2 linked regions of the Nothobranchius furzeri genome follow. The protein of the gene in region 1 binds, or shares a complex with, the protein of each later gene. Links are inferred from orthologs where the notes say so. Each region holds a gene or a part of one and is shown on either strand. Other genes may lie near its edges.

Evidence for each region.
Region 2: the proteins of bcar1 (region 1) and sh2d3ca are in contact, whole or in part, in a crystal structure (PDB 3T6G), measured with the Homo sapiens proteins. The link is inferred for Nothobranchius furzeri from reciprocal best matches to the Homo sapiens genes BCAR1 and SH2D3C. Residues at the interface, in NP_055382.2 of Homo sapiens: Ser739, Gln742, Phe746, Tyr747, Gln750, Asn754, Val779, Ser782, Lys783, Ile786, Leu787, His790, Val793, Phe794, Ile795, Asp797, Thr798, Arg801, Gln802, Ser816, Asn817, Cys820, Leu823, Arg824, Val827, Lys831; in NP_733745.1 of Homo sapiens: Thr543, Val544, Pro545, Val547, Gly616, Val617, Arg618, Glu622, Thr625, Leu626, Pro627, His628, Leu749, Leu752, Leu753, His771, Gly772, Val773, Glu774, Val776, Leu777, Leu780, Glu781, Ala783, Arg784, Ala787, His788.

What each region holds. Positions count from the first base shown.
Region 1 is NC_091754.1:40,232,376-40,240,565, forward strand, and holds the start of bcar1 (breast cancer anti-estrogen resistance protein 1), read left to right. Parts: upstream 1-3,216; 5' UTR 3,217-3,818; coding exon 3,819-3,830; intron 3,831-8,190. UniProt on the Homo sapiens protein: Docking protein which plays a central coordinating role for tyrosine kinase-based signaling related to cell adhesion. Implicated in induction of cell migration and cell branching. Involved in the BCAR3-mediated inhibition of TGFB signaling.
Region 2 is NC_091746.1:49,559,683-49,567,347, reverse strand, and holds part of sh2d3ca (SH2 domain-containing protein 3C), read left to right. Parts: intron 1-2,255; coding exon 2,256-2,531; intron 2,532-2,627; coding exon 2,628-3,039; intron 3,040-7,665. UniProt on the Homo sapiens protein: Acts as an adapter protein that mediates cell signaling pathways involved in cellular functions such as cell adhesion and migration, tissue organization, and the regulation of the immune response.

The sequences.
Region 1 (8,190 bases):
TGTGCAGTTAAACTCGTCCATGTTTGGGTTGTTTTTATTCTGTCATCATGCAGGGAAGCTTACGCTGAAGTCCCAGCAGCTGCTGGTGAGAACTTCTAAACGAGGGAGTTTCCTAAGTGTTTACGGGGTTCTAGGTTCCCTTGTGCCAGTCACACGGTTCCCTTGTGTGGATAGAGTTTAGAACGTTTTATTTAGAAAGTGTTTTGTGATATTTTCTCACCAAATCCTAACCCTAACCCTATCCCCAGCAGAGCAGCAGTTGAAACCGTCTCACATCTGTGGACACAGGAAGCGTGAGAAAGGGTCGGGCTGTGGATTTTGGTTCCCTGGTGCCTCTTTTTGCTACTTTTGGTGTTTTTAATTTAATACATGCTTAAATTACTTCATTGAATAATGATGGAGTCACAAATGTGCTGCGTCCTTCAGAATGTTCCAGATTCAGAAAAAACCTGGCCTCTTATTTGTTTCTATTAAATGATTCAAACATGCTGATAGACTCCATCCATCCATTTTTCTTCCGCTTATCTGGAGTCGAGTCGCGGGGGCCGCAGCCTACGTCGAGAGGCCCAGACTTCCCTCTCCCCAGCCACTTGGGCCAGCTCTTCCGGGGAATCCCAAGGCGTTCCCTGGTCAGGTGAGAGACATAGTCCCTCCAGCATGCCCTGGGTCTACCTTTAGGTCTCCTCCCGGTTGGACGTTCCTGGAAAACCTCACCAGGGAGGCGTCCAGGAGGCATCCTGACCAGATGCCTGAGCCATCGCAGCTGGCTCCTCTCCACCCTCCCGGATGACTGAGCTTCTCACCCTATCTCTAAGGGAGATCCCAGCCATTCTGCAGAGAAAACTCGTTTCAGCCGCTCGTATCCGTGATCTCGTTCTTCGGTCACTGCCCAAATGTGACAAGGTGGAGAAACGAGGGTCACGGGGGGGATTCGATCCCCAGACTCCTGGGTGAGAGTCACGTGCACTTACCAGTCAGCCAGAGGGATGTCCCCTTGGCCAAGTAGCCAGGGCGCATGATCAGTTGGGACACTGACAGGACGCTCACACTGCCACACAAAGCTTGTGACCACAGGTGAGGGTAGGAATGTAGATGGACCAGTAAATCGAGAGCTTTGCCTTCTCTCTTCACCACGACAGACCGGTACAACGCCTGCATCACTGCAGATGCAGCACCAATCCACCTATCCATCTCACGCTCCAGCTTTCCCTCACTCGTGAACAAGACCCAAACATACTTAAACTTCCACTTGGAGCAGGACCTCATCCCTGACCCGGAGAAGGCATTCTACCCGTTTCCGAATCAAGACTGGAAACCTAATCACTTTAAACATGACTTGGTGTGTTCCATCAACAGGTTCAATAAAGTAATGAAAGACATTGATATTTCACTTAAGGGATCTTTATACATTCTTCGTATACAAAACCATCTTTAATAAATTCGGGAGGTGGATTTGTGGGCAAGAACTTTAACGATACATTTTTAATGACGTACTTTATCAGGTCACAGTTACACGTGTTTCCAATGATGTGGTCAGACCAACTGTGTAGGTTAAAGTTCAGAGTTCACCAGTGGCTCATCTGTCCAGAGAGGCAGATGAGGAAGAGTCCATGTGATTGGTGATGGCCTAGAAGGAAGGGGAGGAGGATTCTCCATTATGTCGTTCATGGGACATCAGGACAGAGGTCATCCCAGTCTGAGCAGATGGTCTGTGGGCAGCATCATCAGGGAGAAGAGCACAGGTAAGTTTTTCTCGCTGTATAGCATGTATCATACTAACTGTAAGTGATGTAACCGCCATCAATGTGTTTGGTCCCTTTTCTACAGTTGAAAGACGACCAAATGATGTTGGAAGGACTTGTCTTTTCTCCCAACAAGAGGCATCGTTGTTGACACCATCGTTCAAAATAATGAAATCCAGCAGAGAGATTAAAGATGGAGCCAACTTTGATGGAAGAAGAAAGTTTGTATCGAGCTTTTCTAGATAAAAACTACAAGGCACTTCACAAGAAAATAAAATAAATGAAAAAAAATTAAATATATATTGTTATATAATAAAAATGGGAGAAATGGGAAACAGTTCAGAAAAATGTGAATAAAAAAGAAAATGTCATCACAGGAACATGAAAAAGAACTGACAAACACCAGCATGAAGAGAAACTAGTGAAGATTCAGCAGAAGGTGACATTAAAACCAGCCTGGACAGGTGAGTTTTCAGCTGCTTTTTAAAGGAGACCACTGAGTCCACTGATCTCAGGGGGAGAGAGGTCCAGAGTCTGGGGGCCGCAGCAGCAAATGATCTGTCACCTTTGGTCTTTAGCCTGGTGCTGCACAACCAGTAGGCTTTGATCACTGGACCTCAGGGACCTGCTGGGGGTGTAGGGACTAAGAAGATCACCAATGTAAGATGGTGCTTGTCCATGTAAGGCCCTATAGACCAGAACCAGGATCTTGAAATGAACCCTGAAGTTGACTGGCAGCCAGTGAAGCTGGAGGAGAAGCAGGGAGATGGGGGTGTGTTTGGAGGACTTGGTCAGAAGCCGAGCACAGGCATTCTGAACCACCTGTAGACGGTTCAGGGAGGTTCTGCTCAGACACGTGAAAAGAGAGTTACAGTAGTCTAAGCGTGAGGAGATGAAGGTGTGGAGAAGTCTCAAGTTCAGAATGGGACTCAGCTTAGCAATGTTCCTGAGATGGAAGAAGAAGAGCGAAAAAGAGAACTGGCATGAGAATCCAGGGTGAGAACTGGGTCAAAGGTCATGCCAAGATTCCTGACAGAGAGTTTGGTGTGAGAAGCAAGCTGACCAAGAGAGTCTCTGACTTTGGGAACCAGCTTGTTTGGGGCACAGATGAGGATCTCAGTCTTATCTTCATTCAGCTGTAGAAAGCTCCCAGCCATCCAGGTTTTGATAGAGTCTAAGCAGGTGTGTAACAGCTGCAGCTTAGACATCTCATGGGGCTTAAAGGAGATGTACAGTTGGATGTCATCTGCGTAAAGATGGTAGGAGACTCCTTTGAAGGAGCTCAGGATGTGCTGAAAAAGAAGCAGACAGAGGATAATTGGAAGGAGGAAATCATAAAAGCAGCAGGAATGAAGGAATGCAAGAGACTGTTTACTGGTTTTGCTGGGAGCACTGGTGTTTATAAAGTCCAACATCTGCTGGGAGGATGGACCTAGGATGCAGCAGTTTGGCACTGAAGGAGCTTCCAGCTCCACACCAGCTTCATGCATGGGATGGAGGACACTGTCCAACAGTGATGTTATTTTCACTAGAGTCCTCTCTCCCACCCCCAGCTGGGTCAAGGGGACATGCTAGGACAGAACTTCTTAATCAGCTTCCCGTCTCTCAGTAGCCCCAAACCACACAAAGATGGTGGATGGGAGGGGGGCTCGGGCCCTTTAAGCGGACAGGATCCAGCCTGTGGTGGGCGGACGGTAGCAGCCAGCTGTGCTCCACCCGCTCCGCTCGGCCTCCAGCCGCAGCTGCTTCATGCTCCAGCTGTTATAGCCGCGCGTCCGTGGGGGGTGAGTCCGAGGCAGAGTGACTTGAGGGAGGACCGAGAACCGTCAAGTCTGCGGGTCATACGGACGATCGCATTACCGCTGCTGCAGATCTGCGCCTCTGAGGCGCATTTTTACGCAGCAGTCCAGCTGGACTGAGACAAATCCCGACCTCTTCCTCCCGCTGGGAGCTTTCCTTTCCTACCAGGAGTCTTTTCCATGGAATCCACGAACGGCTGACGCCAGCGCAGCTGTGCATAAAACCCGCTAGAGACGCAACTGGCAGGAAAAGGCGCAATAGGACAGCTGCAGCAAAATGTCTATCCCTGTAAGTATGTCAGACGCATGTTGGTGTTCCCAGTCGTTGCTCCGGTGTTCCATGTTAATGGTTGTAACAGCCTGGGCCCGGGCCGCCCGGTTCCATAGCACTACAGTAATTAAGATGTTATCATGTGAGCCCACACATATTACTGTAACACGGTGTGTGATATGTGCTGGTGGTGACATGTTACTCTTTGTCTTTGGCCTACATGAAGCTCCAGCGGGTTTAAAGGAGCAGCCCGCCCCTTCCGGGAGGCTGTTTGCATGAAGGCCAATGTCAGCCAGGGTCTGGTGGCTTCATTCCAGCAGACCTGGCCAGTCAGCTCAGCAGAGCAGCTGATAGCACTGTGTGTGTGTGTGCAGGTGTGCGTGCGTGTGTGTGTGTTTGTGTGTGTGTGCAGGTGTGCGTGTGTGTGGAATAAGGCATTTGCTCGAGCTTGTTGAGTTATTTTCCATCAAATTCCAAAGGATCTGTTTCACAAACACTGCCTAAGGATCTCTCTCTCCCTCTCTCTCTCTCTCTCTCTCTCTCTCTCCTCTCTAACTGAACTGATGCTTCATTTTGTTGGGGACGACAAAATCCTACTGGCACTTTAATATAAAGTTATTAGACGATCTTACCTTTTGCAACATTTTTAAGCTGTTCTGGGAGGCTTTGCGGTCCAAAAGAATGATTTTAAGACCATCAGTGAATGGTGGGAACAAGGGAAGGCACAAATTAGAGTTTTCTGTCAACATTACACGCGGGGGTCTACAAACCAAATAAGAAAGACTATGGCAGATCTAGAGAAGGACATCAGGGTGCTAGACTACTACTCAACAACAGCACACCTTAGACCAAAAAAAGACAGCAGCTTGGGCATTTCCTGCAAGAGAGGGCCAAAGGCGCCTTGATCTGGGCTCGTCTCACCACAATACAGGACATGGATGCTCTGACATCCTTCTTTTTTAACCTGGAAAAGACTTCAAACCAGAAAAAACAAATGGCTGGCCTGCGTCTGTCAGATGGACAGTTATCCACAGACCCAGTGGAGATGAGGAAGCATGCAGTAGAATTCTATACCAGCCTATTTAAGGCCGCCCCATGTGATGTGAACTGTGCCAGAGAGCTGTTGCAGGGGCTTCCTTCCTTGACCACAGTAGACCAGGGAATCTTAAATGCAGACATAACCATGGAGGAACTTACAACGGCAGTCTCCCAGATGGCTGCAGGTAAATCTGCGGGGATGAACAGCTTACCCGCTGACTTCTACAAATTCTTCTGGAGCAGTATTGGACAGGACCTGATGGATGTTTTTAGAGACTCACTTCAGACAGGAGCACTTCCTGCATCGTGTAGTTGGGGCGTTCTGTCCCTGCTGCCGAAAAAAGGGGACTTAACCCAACTAAAAACCTGGGGACCAGTTTCCTTGTTGTGTTCAGACTATAAGATTTTTTCTAAGTTCCTATCTAATAGACTTCGGGGATTCATCAGAGGTCTAATCCCAGACGATCAGTCCTTCTGTATACCAGGAAAGTCATTAATGGACAATTTATTTTTAATGAGAGATGTGTTTGATGTTTGTAAAATGTATGATGTAAACGCAGGTATCATTTCTATTGATCAGGAAAAGGCGTTTGATAGGGTTGATCATGAGATCCTGTTCTCTACGCTACAGGCCTTTGGTGTTGGGGGGTCCTTCCTGGAAGGGATTAAGATGCTGTCATGTCATGTCAGCTGTATGGTGAAGGTAGCGGGGGGCCTGAGCCAACCCACCAGTTCTAAGAGGAATCAGACAGGTTGTCCCATCTCAGGACAACTGTATATTTTAGCCATTGAACAGCTGCTGTGTCGGCTGAGGAACAGGCTGAAAGGTGTACACCTACCTTTACCTGACTCCAGTCCTCCCTTAGTTGTGTCTGCTTATGCAGATGATGTGAATGTTTTCATCCATGATCAGCAGGATGTACAAGAACTCAGATCTAGTTTACGTTTACATGAGAAAGCATCCTCAGCTAAGGTTAACTGGGACAAGAGTGAGGCATGTGTAGTGGGGGGTGGGACCTTGGTGATGTCCCGCCTCTGCCAGAAGGGTTGAGGTGGGGAACGGGAGGTATTAAAACACTAGGCATGTACTTGGGTAGGGAAAGGTTTCAGAAACAGAACTGGGAGAAGGTGCTGGAGAAGGTGGAGGCGCGGTTGTCTAAATGGAAATGGCTGCTCCCTCAGCTGTCCTACAGGGGCAGGGTTCTGATAGCAAACAACCTCGTCGCCTCGTTTCTGTGGCAGAGACTGATTGTACTGGTTCCACCACCCCGTCTGCTGGAAGGTGTTCAGAAGCTGTTGGTGAAATTCTTCTGGTCTGGTCACCACTGGATCAGAGCTTCGGCTCTTTGCCTACCCGTGTCAGAGGGAGGACAAGGACTAATAGACGTGGTGTCTAGAACTGCAGCCTTCAGGTTACAGACAGCTCAGAAGCTTTGTTATGGTGACGGACTCCGCTGGCTCCCCCTGGCTCATCTCCTGCTGCAGAAGGTTGGTGGGCTTGGGCTGAACAAACACCTGTTCCTGTTGAATCGGAAGGTGTTGGATCTGACAAGGATTAGTCCGTTCTACTCATCAGTGCTGGACACCTTTAAGCTGCTGGCGGTTTCCCGAGCACCTGACACGGGACCAGGGACATGGTTGCTACAAGAACCCTTGTTTGACAATGACTTCTTCTCTCAAGCTGGCATTTTAACTTCGTCTTCGTTGAAAGTGAAGTTCACCGATGCTGGGATTGTAAAGTTTGGCCACTTACTGAAGATCCCGGCTGGAACCCTTGGTGAGCGGGTTGATGTGAGGTCCACCAGAGTGATGGAGAGAGTGGTGGAGGAGGTACGGAGGTCCTTGTCTGTGTCGCAGAGAGCCTTCGTTGAGACTTGTACTCTATCTGACCAATGGGATGATGACAGTGAGTACGTTTTTCCATCTCTGGAGGTTAAAGCAGCTGGTGAGGGATGGCAGGAGGAGAGTGGATTACTGCTGAACCTGAACTCTCCAGTGTTGGGCTCCTTCCAGTCTTGTGGGAAGAAACAGATCTATCACACTTGTGTGAAGGTTATCAATAGGCGCTCCTTGTTAGGAGTCAAGGAGTTGAGGTGGACTCAGGTGTTTGCTGCGGACCGTGCCCCTGGGGGCAGCTGGAGGACTTTGTATAAGTCTCCAGTGGAAAAAAGGGATGGCAGACCTCCAGTGGAGGATCATACATGGAGCTTTAGCTACGAACAGACACAGAGCCCACTTTGATCCAAGCACCGGGGAGGGATGTCCTTTTTGTAACCAAACAGAGACCCTAGAGCATCTAGTGGTAGCATGTTCTAGGTTATCAGGGATGTTCAGGGTTTTAGAACGGTGGGTTAGTGCACTGGGGGAGGCTTTTACCCTTCCGTTATTTGTTTTCGGGCCCAAGTACAGTGTCAGAAAAAACGGACAAAATTGTTAATTAACTTTTTATTTGCATGTGCAAAACTAGCCATCTGGAAAACCAGGAAAAACCAGATGCTGGGACAGAGCTGGACTGATGCTGAGCGGAGCCTGAAGGGCCTGGTGGAAGCTCGCTTGAAGATCGAACACGCTTTTTATGAACTTACTGGGAACCTGGACTCCTTTAGAGCGGTGTGGGGGATCGGGCAGGTGCTCTGTCTGCTGGATGGACAGGGCTCCCTAAAGATCAACTTCTAAACTGGGTTTCTCAGTTTTCCTGGTTTTATTAGTGGAAAACAAGTTTCAGTCATTAACACTGATTGTTGATCTGTAAAGAAATTTAAATAATTTAAAAGTCAAAGTCTCTCTCTCCTCTCTCTCTCTCTCTCTCTCTCTCTCTCTCTCTCTCTCTCTCTGTCTGTCTCTCTTTGTCTGTCTGTCTGTCTGTCTCTCTCTCTCTGTCTGTCTGTCTCTATGTCTCTCTCTCTCTGGTCCCCCCCCCCCCCCCCCCCCCCCAGTTCAAGCCATAACTAACACTCACATATTCAGCAACAGAACACCACTGTCAGGTTGGGCTTAAGGTTGTTGACCTAAGACGTGATGAACCAGTCACAACACGAGATAAATCAAATAACATTTACTAAAGGACAACTTATGGAGTGCCACCGACTTGGGGCGAGGAATGCTGAGGCTCTGGCTCCAGAAGAGTGACTCGCTGGGCTGAGGAAATATGTTGCTAAGGCTTACAGTTCTGTAGATGGTCTTGAGCTCGAGAGGGGAAGAGGTCCAGTCCAAGGCAGTGGTTGTAGGTAGAGCTTGTGCAGGAAGGGGCACTCGAGGCTGGTTCTAGATTTCCAGACAGGATGAGTGGTGGAACGCTGGAAGGTCTGGTTGCAGGGTTTGAGTGTGGATCAGGGAGGTT
Region 2 (7,665 bases), on another chromosome or scaffold:
TGGTTTTTAGTCATACAACTGTGACCTTTGAATGAGTTAGACATCAAAAAGGCATCAAACATGAGGGATGAACCAGACGTGTAACCACACACAGTTTTTTTTTATCAGACTCTCTTATCAGTTTCTTCTCAGGATTCTGTCACTAAAACATGACCAAAGAGAGTAGGTTTATATGGATGAAATGGTATTTGAGTACCAATAAGGTGATTTTTAAAGAGTTTTAATCTGGAATTATTGAGTCACTGTGGGTGGCAAATATCTGAGAGGGGAAATTAATTCCACAAATAGCATAAAATTAAACTACTTCCAGCACAATTTTTTACTATAATTGTTCCCAAAACTAAAAGTAATAGCCATGGAAAGAAATATGTTGCATAATATGTGAAGAATTAATTAGGTCTAGTTCATTAGGCTTTTCAACAAAGTGCGTATCATCAACTCAATTCGATTCAAGTTTATCTATATAGCGCCAAATCACGACAAGTCGTCTCAAGGCACTTCACATAGTAAACATTCCAATACAGGTCAGTTCATTAAGCCAATCAGCAAAAAGTTTCCTACATAAGGAACCCAGCAAAATGCAACGAGTCATAACTCAGTATAAGCAGCCCACGACTCACTGGGGATTAAGAAGACAGAGCACACACACACACACACGCACGCACACACACACACACACACCAAGCCAGTGATTTTCAGGGTTTTAAATCATTTATCTTTTATCTGTCAGTGTGCCCCAGGGCAGCTGTGGCTACATTGCAGCTCATCACCATCAGGGTGTGTGAATGGATGAATGATGCACTGTAGTGTAAAGTGCTTTGGAGTCCTCTGACCCTGAAAGGCACGGCAAGTGTGAGTCATTTATCGTTTATTTTGTTGGTCTAAAGCTGAAACATTTGGGAACTGTAGGTGATCAGCTGGAGGATGGAGCCTCTCTCAGGTGGTCTTTCAAATATTTTCTGATTGTATTCCAACTTTATCCTATAAAAGACACAACTTTACAATCCATTTGCTAAAGTTGGGTTTTAAGTCGTCACACTTTCGGTCTTCTAGTTGTCCACTTCTCTCACATTTAAACTCAAACTGATTTGTGATGTCACTGCTGGTTACAAAGACAGAAAAATGAGAGAAAAAGCAGCAAAAGTTTAAAGAAAATCTTCAGAAAGTCTGGGGATCAATAACTTTTTTTTAACAATTTAGAGCTGTCTTACTGCACTGGCATAAGGAACACACTTCAACCAGACCAGAATGTGTGAGATTATGCATGAAACAAAAATGTTAATTAGAGTTGAATAAAATAATCAAACGTCTGCAGAGAATAGAGCTTCATTCACTAAAACTGGACAACTATGAATTGGAAAATTACTCAGATGAATTATTCAGCAGGCAGAAGTTCCAGCAAATGGTTTTACTATTAGGTAAGTAAGCACTGAACACTGTGGGATGAATTATTTAGGGAATGCATTCATTAAACTGCTGGATTGTTAATTCAGAGAGTCTGAGGCCTAGTCCACACGTAGCCGGGATTTTAAAAAAATGAATATCCGCCCCTCCAAAAACTTGCATCCACACCACCTCGTTTAAAAAAAAACTCTGTCCACACGTACCCGGATAAATACGTTGTTAAGGACATGCCAGACCTGTAGGCGGCAGTACTTCCCCCGTTCTTAACCTCGTCCTTCGTCTGTGGTCTTCCGCAAGGAGCAGTAATTCCGCTTGCAAAAACAAACAAGCAAAAAGCGCTTGGACAATTGATAAAGCGAGCGCAGCTCTGAGGGCATCCATGCTGTCGGCTAGTGTAAACACAGGTCACACATCTGATGTCAGCATTTTTTGTCGCGGAAAGTGACGTTGTGGACCTTAAAACTCCGGTTTTGTCTGTCCACACGCAGACACCCAAAACGGAGAAAACGCAGATCTTCACTTTGGCCGGAGTTTTTAAAAAGATCAGTTTTCGTGTGAAAAAACTCCGTTTTTGTGTGGATGACAGGCCAAAACGTAGAAAAATATCTACGTTTTGGCAGAACCCCGTCTACGCGTGGACAGGGCCTGAAGCTCTGGGCTGGAGATGTCCAGTCAGATGGACATGATCTCCACCTCTCTGTGGTGCATCTCTCCTCTCTGCTTCTACTTTCATAAGGCTTAGACAGCTCTCCTTTAAGATGTCATATGCAATTATTATACCCCCCCAGCAAACTATGAGTTTGAAATTACACTTTTTGTCGCAACAAATTGACTTTCTCCTCCTCTTTAAGGCTTCAAATGGTTAGACAGCATCACCAGCATTTCCTTTCGCCGCTCCAGCAACAAATCTGACTCGAAGGCCTCCAAATCCAAATCAGGCTCAGGATGTGAGGCTGGGAAGGAGGGCGGATGTGAGGCAAACCTGACTTCAGTCACTGAGACAACACTGGACGACACTGACGCCATGCGTCCTCGCACTGCCAGCCACGTCCGTTCCAGTAAGGGCTACACACACATGGGGACGCTGCCTCGACTGCTTATGAAGAGGAAAGACAAGAGTAAGAAAGGTAGCAAAGCAGACAGTTTAACTGAGATTTGGGAAAATTATTGTTGATATTTTTTAGAAGCTGTCTCTGTCTGTCCCTGTCTCATTCTTGTCCCAGGATGCCCCAGCGGCAGTAAACAGAGTAACAAGAAGACCAATGATAGCAAAGGTCACTTCAAGGCTCCTGCAGGTGTCTTGTCTGATCCATCTGAGACTAAAGCAGTAGTCACACCTGACACAGAGCTCAACCAGACCCCTCCAGCTGATCCTGAGATCCGGTCTGAACCTGATGACGAGCTCACAAACCACCACATCCTCACTGCTGGTGGAGAGGTGCCATCTGGTGGCTCAAATAGAGAAATTCAGTCAGGCGGAGAAGAAGAGTTGAGGCCAGGATTCGCTTCTCTCAGGAAGGTGGAAGGGGAAGTGGAGAGTGATGGGGTAGAGTCCAAAACTGTGTCTGAACCGGAACAGGAAGCAGGGAAAGAAGAGCCGAACGACAGAAAAGGAAACTCTCATGGTGTCTACTGGTGAGTTTTGGTGTTTGATTTTACATACTCCTTCACATACGGTCTCAATCCACCCCTTCTCAGTCATCTATACAAACATCAACAGAACCGTAAATCACAATGCTCCTCTTCAGTACATCTTTTTGTAATATCAGGCATCTAGTTCCTTAAAAATATTTGAAACAAAAAAATGTATGAAGAGTTTTGTGATTATATGCTTCTTTGTCTTTGATTTAATCATTTCATTTGATAAACCAGAATCTACACATTTTATTTCGTATTTAAAATCCAGAAGTTCCAAGGTTGCAGCTTTGTGAAGATAAATTAAATCAGTTACATTTTATTTGGACTGAAAACAATTTTCAAAATGATCAGAATTAAAACAGAACTCCACTGAAGAAAGACTACAGAGCTTTTTCTGAAACATAAAAAATAAACATCAAATATGTTTGTGCAACAAAGAGACAGATGTATTAGATGTCTTCAGATGCAGAGTCTCCACTGGATGTTATGATTCGCTCTGTGGTATTAGATTGGGGTTCTGATCAAGTTTTTTTTTTCATTGACCTGTGCTGGATAAGTATCATGATTCTGTTCTCCTGATTTCTATTGTTGACCTGCTTTCTAAGGTTTCACATCAGCCACACTGTAAGATAACTTTCAGGTACTGTATTTTCCGGACTATAAACCGCTACTTTTTTCCCACGCTTTGAACCATGCGGTTTATAATGAGTTGCGGCTTTAGTCAACCAGAAAGGATGGATGCTGGAAAGTCTAATGAAGGAATGGTTAAAGGAGTGTTACGGAAAGCGCCCAGGAGGATTTTTTCACAGTAAAACGACGCTGCTTGTTTTCCCAGCTTCACCCCGGGATGATGACCGCAACACGGACATCGCCACAGAAAAGGCTGTTCAACTCCGACACCGAAGAAAATGACTTCAGTGGTTTCAGTGCGCAGGAGGATGATGAATAAACTAATCAATAACTTTTCTGTTATGTTTGATACTGATCAGTTCAGTTATGTTCAGTTAAACTACCTTTTCAATTCAGTAGATATCTGCGGCTTTTAGCCCGGTACGGCTTATATTGTGGTGCGCTAAATAGTCCGGAAATTACGGTACTTCAGAATAAAAAAAAAGAAATACAAATTATCATAAGTCTCTGGGTTAGTTTTACTTTTATTCCACTTGATCATGGAGAAAATACTGTTTTAACATGAGTAAGATGTCAACTTGTCAGTTAAGACTGGTCAGAACACTGCAGAGATGCCCTCAGATGCTGTAGAAGTCATAAACACTGTTCCAAACGTTGTTTATAAACACAGTCCGCTTTTTTGTGTCACTCCTGTTTGCACACAAAACAGAAAACCAAACTATTGTCCTAATAGACTGACTTTTTAAATGCATGTAAACGCGTTAATTCTCACTGAATGCCACTTGGTTCTAATCTTGCTGAACCACTCAGGTAATGTGGAAGGAAACCAACTTCATCTGCATGTAAACAGCTCAGTCGAGGGGATACCGGTAACAGTAAAGTGAGCTGGGCTGCAGCTTTGTTGGTGTCCATTCCTCCTTGTTGTGCATATCCTGTTTTAACTTTGTCTGCTTCACTTTGTCAGTGTTTGTTTACGTTTTGTGTTGCTATAAGCTAACTGGAGGAGTGTCAACACAAAAGGATGCACGTCGCCACCTAACGTACCTGAAGGAAACAAACTTCATTTGAGAGTTTGGTTTTATAACGTACATGTAAACTAGAATAGAAAATCCCAGTTTATTATCTTGGATTGACCCAGATCGATTTAGATGTGCACGTAAATGCAGTTTAGAGTGTTTAATAAAGAGACAGTTCAGCTAAAAGCTCCAAAAACACTGATTGTTGTCTCCTAGTGTCTCCCTACACTGTGATCCTCAGGGGAGGATTAGGTGTACAGGCAGGGGCGTAGCACCAAATTCTGGGCCCTAGGTACAAGCCTTCTAGGTGGGCCCCCATGCTCAATTAATATCTCTCTTACACATTTTTTGTCATGCTATAAGACAAGATAATAAATATGATCTTAGTTTAACCTCTATATTGAGCAAATAAAAGTGAAATGCCCAGACTTCACATATAATTATTTTTATTTGCCAACAATGTGTTCAAACAAAAATCCTGGAATTTATTTTCCAGTAAATGCCCACTGACGGGTCTTCATGTTAGCAAAATCACTTATGAGATCTTTAAAGTCCAATTCTTTGGCTAATTGGCTTTCAATAGAAAGAAGAGCTAGGCTGTTCAGTCTATCCTGGGACATTGTTGATCTCAAATAATTTTTCACCAGTTTCAGTTTGCTAAAAGCCCGTTCACCCCCAGCAACAGTCACAGGTAGTGTGCAAAATATCCTCAGTCCAATACAAACTTCTCCAAAAATGCTCTGTAATTGCATCCTGTAGATGGCATTAAGCAGCACAAGAGGAGACTGAATATGTGGAAATGTGGCACCATATATTGTTCTCAGGTGTAGCATCTCATTCTCAAATTCAGCTGTGAGATCCTTGTAATGTTTTCTCATCAGTGCCTGGCATGATATCTTCATCTGCTCTTCAGTCATGTCTGTCATGGTTCATGATGTTAAGCTTTGCTAATACTGATATATATTGATATATTAAATACATATAACATGAAATAAACCAGGTTCTCTCTGTGAATGTAATGTACTCTAAATTTTATAATCCCTGCATTATCAGCCAAATTATAAGATTGTCCGTTTTCAATATCAAATATAAAGAAATTTAAAATAGGCTTAAAATATCTAACCAAGTCAATAACAATCGTCTAACACCAGTGTCATCATGCTATACAAAAAACAGTGGCAGCTTCACATTCCTGAGATTACCACGAATCCATCGATACCAAGTTTGTCCTGGTCCATGACTGGGAAGGAGCTGAAATATCCACACAGAGTGAACCTGTTTTTACTGCGAGGTCCGCGAATTAATTGGCGGCGGCCGCGTGTTTTCACTGATAACGCTAGTTAATTTATATTTGATCTTGATGGTGAAACTAAAGGCGTTTAACACTGAACACCTAACATGAATGCAGCTTGTGAGAGCTAGCTAATATCAGCTAAAACTGTGTTCTGCTGCTGCTGGCTGCTACTCACCGTCCTTCTTGAAAAACCTAGTCAATACTTGCTTCTGTTCAATTAACTTCTTCTCCTTCTTTTCTTTTCTTTTCTTTTCTTTTCTTTTCTTTTCTTTTCTTTTCTGGAAGCCAGATTTCCCTTTCTTGGGAAAAGACATGACTGACTCTCCTGCCTCCAGCTCTGGCTGTCGGCATCTGCGATGTCTCATTAGCTGTACATGCGGCCGTGCAGCCCCTGGCCGCTGGTGTGGACTAAACCACTTTGCACATTTTTAAGGGGTGATAGATGCCTCAGAGATTATTCAGTTATTATTTTTAAGGCAAAATTCTGTTTCTTAACCTCTTTATCCAGGTAAAGGGAAGTTTATTAAGACATTAAGTTGGGGGAAAAAACATCAACAATAAAACATTTTTATTCAAAGCTGTCTCAGGGCCCCTCCCTGCAGTGGGCCCTGGGTAAACGGTATCCGGTATTTGTACCCAAGTGGACAAAATCACCCTTGAGCTAGCATCATGAACCTCTGCCGCTCCAGCTAGCATAGCTCCGTTGCTCTCATCGTGAACGTCTTGCTTTTCTATAGCCTGCTGTTGGGTCCAGCAGCAGATTTAAAATATCCTGACAATTTTGGGATTTTCTGCTGAATATTTTTGTGCTTTTGTTCTTTGATTCTATACATTTTTCTTTTCTGAGTGCCGCTCTCATATTTCCTTTCTGACGTTTTTTTCATTTTCCCTCGTTAAGTGCAACAGCGTATGATACATGAATATGACGTGTTACGTGACACATTACTTAACTCAAGACCGCCACAATGTTTACCCAATCAGTGTCGCTTATGATTCTGTCAGCCAATACAGTTGAAGAATATTCTTGCATGTAAATTTAAATAAAATCATATATTTTTAGCTGGCTAATGGGGGCCCCAGAACACACGTGGGCCCCTGGGCTTAAGCCATATCAAGCCTGTGCATTAATCCAGGCCTGGTGATCCTGTACAGAAACTCACTGATTTTAATAACTTTAATGTACTTAAAGGATGCCGTCTGCAGAAAACAAATGAACCCATTGCTATGTTTCATGTCATAATGTTGCTCTGACTGAAGATGGCCAAAAGAAAGTTAACACGCTGGTAAAAGAGATACACCATACCAGCGTGGCTAATCTGAGCACGGGTTATAATCTGTAAAAAATGTAAAGTGAGTTCATGCTGACTTCCCTGTGAAAAGATCTGAGACGATGAGTGCAAAGTGAGAAGATAACTGCGTTCATTCTTCCACTTTTTAAGGCAGCGAGCAACATTGATTTCTTCTATTGATCAATGCTGCTGGAGAGATGCTGGCTGGTCGCTGGTTGGATGATTTCTCATTTAGCATCGATTTATTCTTGCGTGCTAAAGACCAGGGGAAATTAGCTCTCCGTGCTCTCATTGTGAGTGTTTCTTATTTGAGCAGCTGACTTATTAATAACATTAAAAGTTGGGGAGTTTAGGAGAGCGATGTAACCTCTGAGTGCCCCCCCCCCCCCCTTTT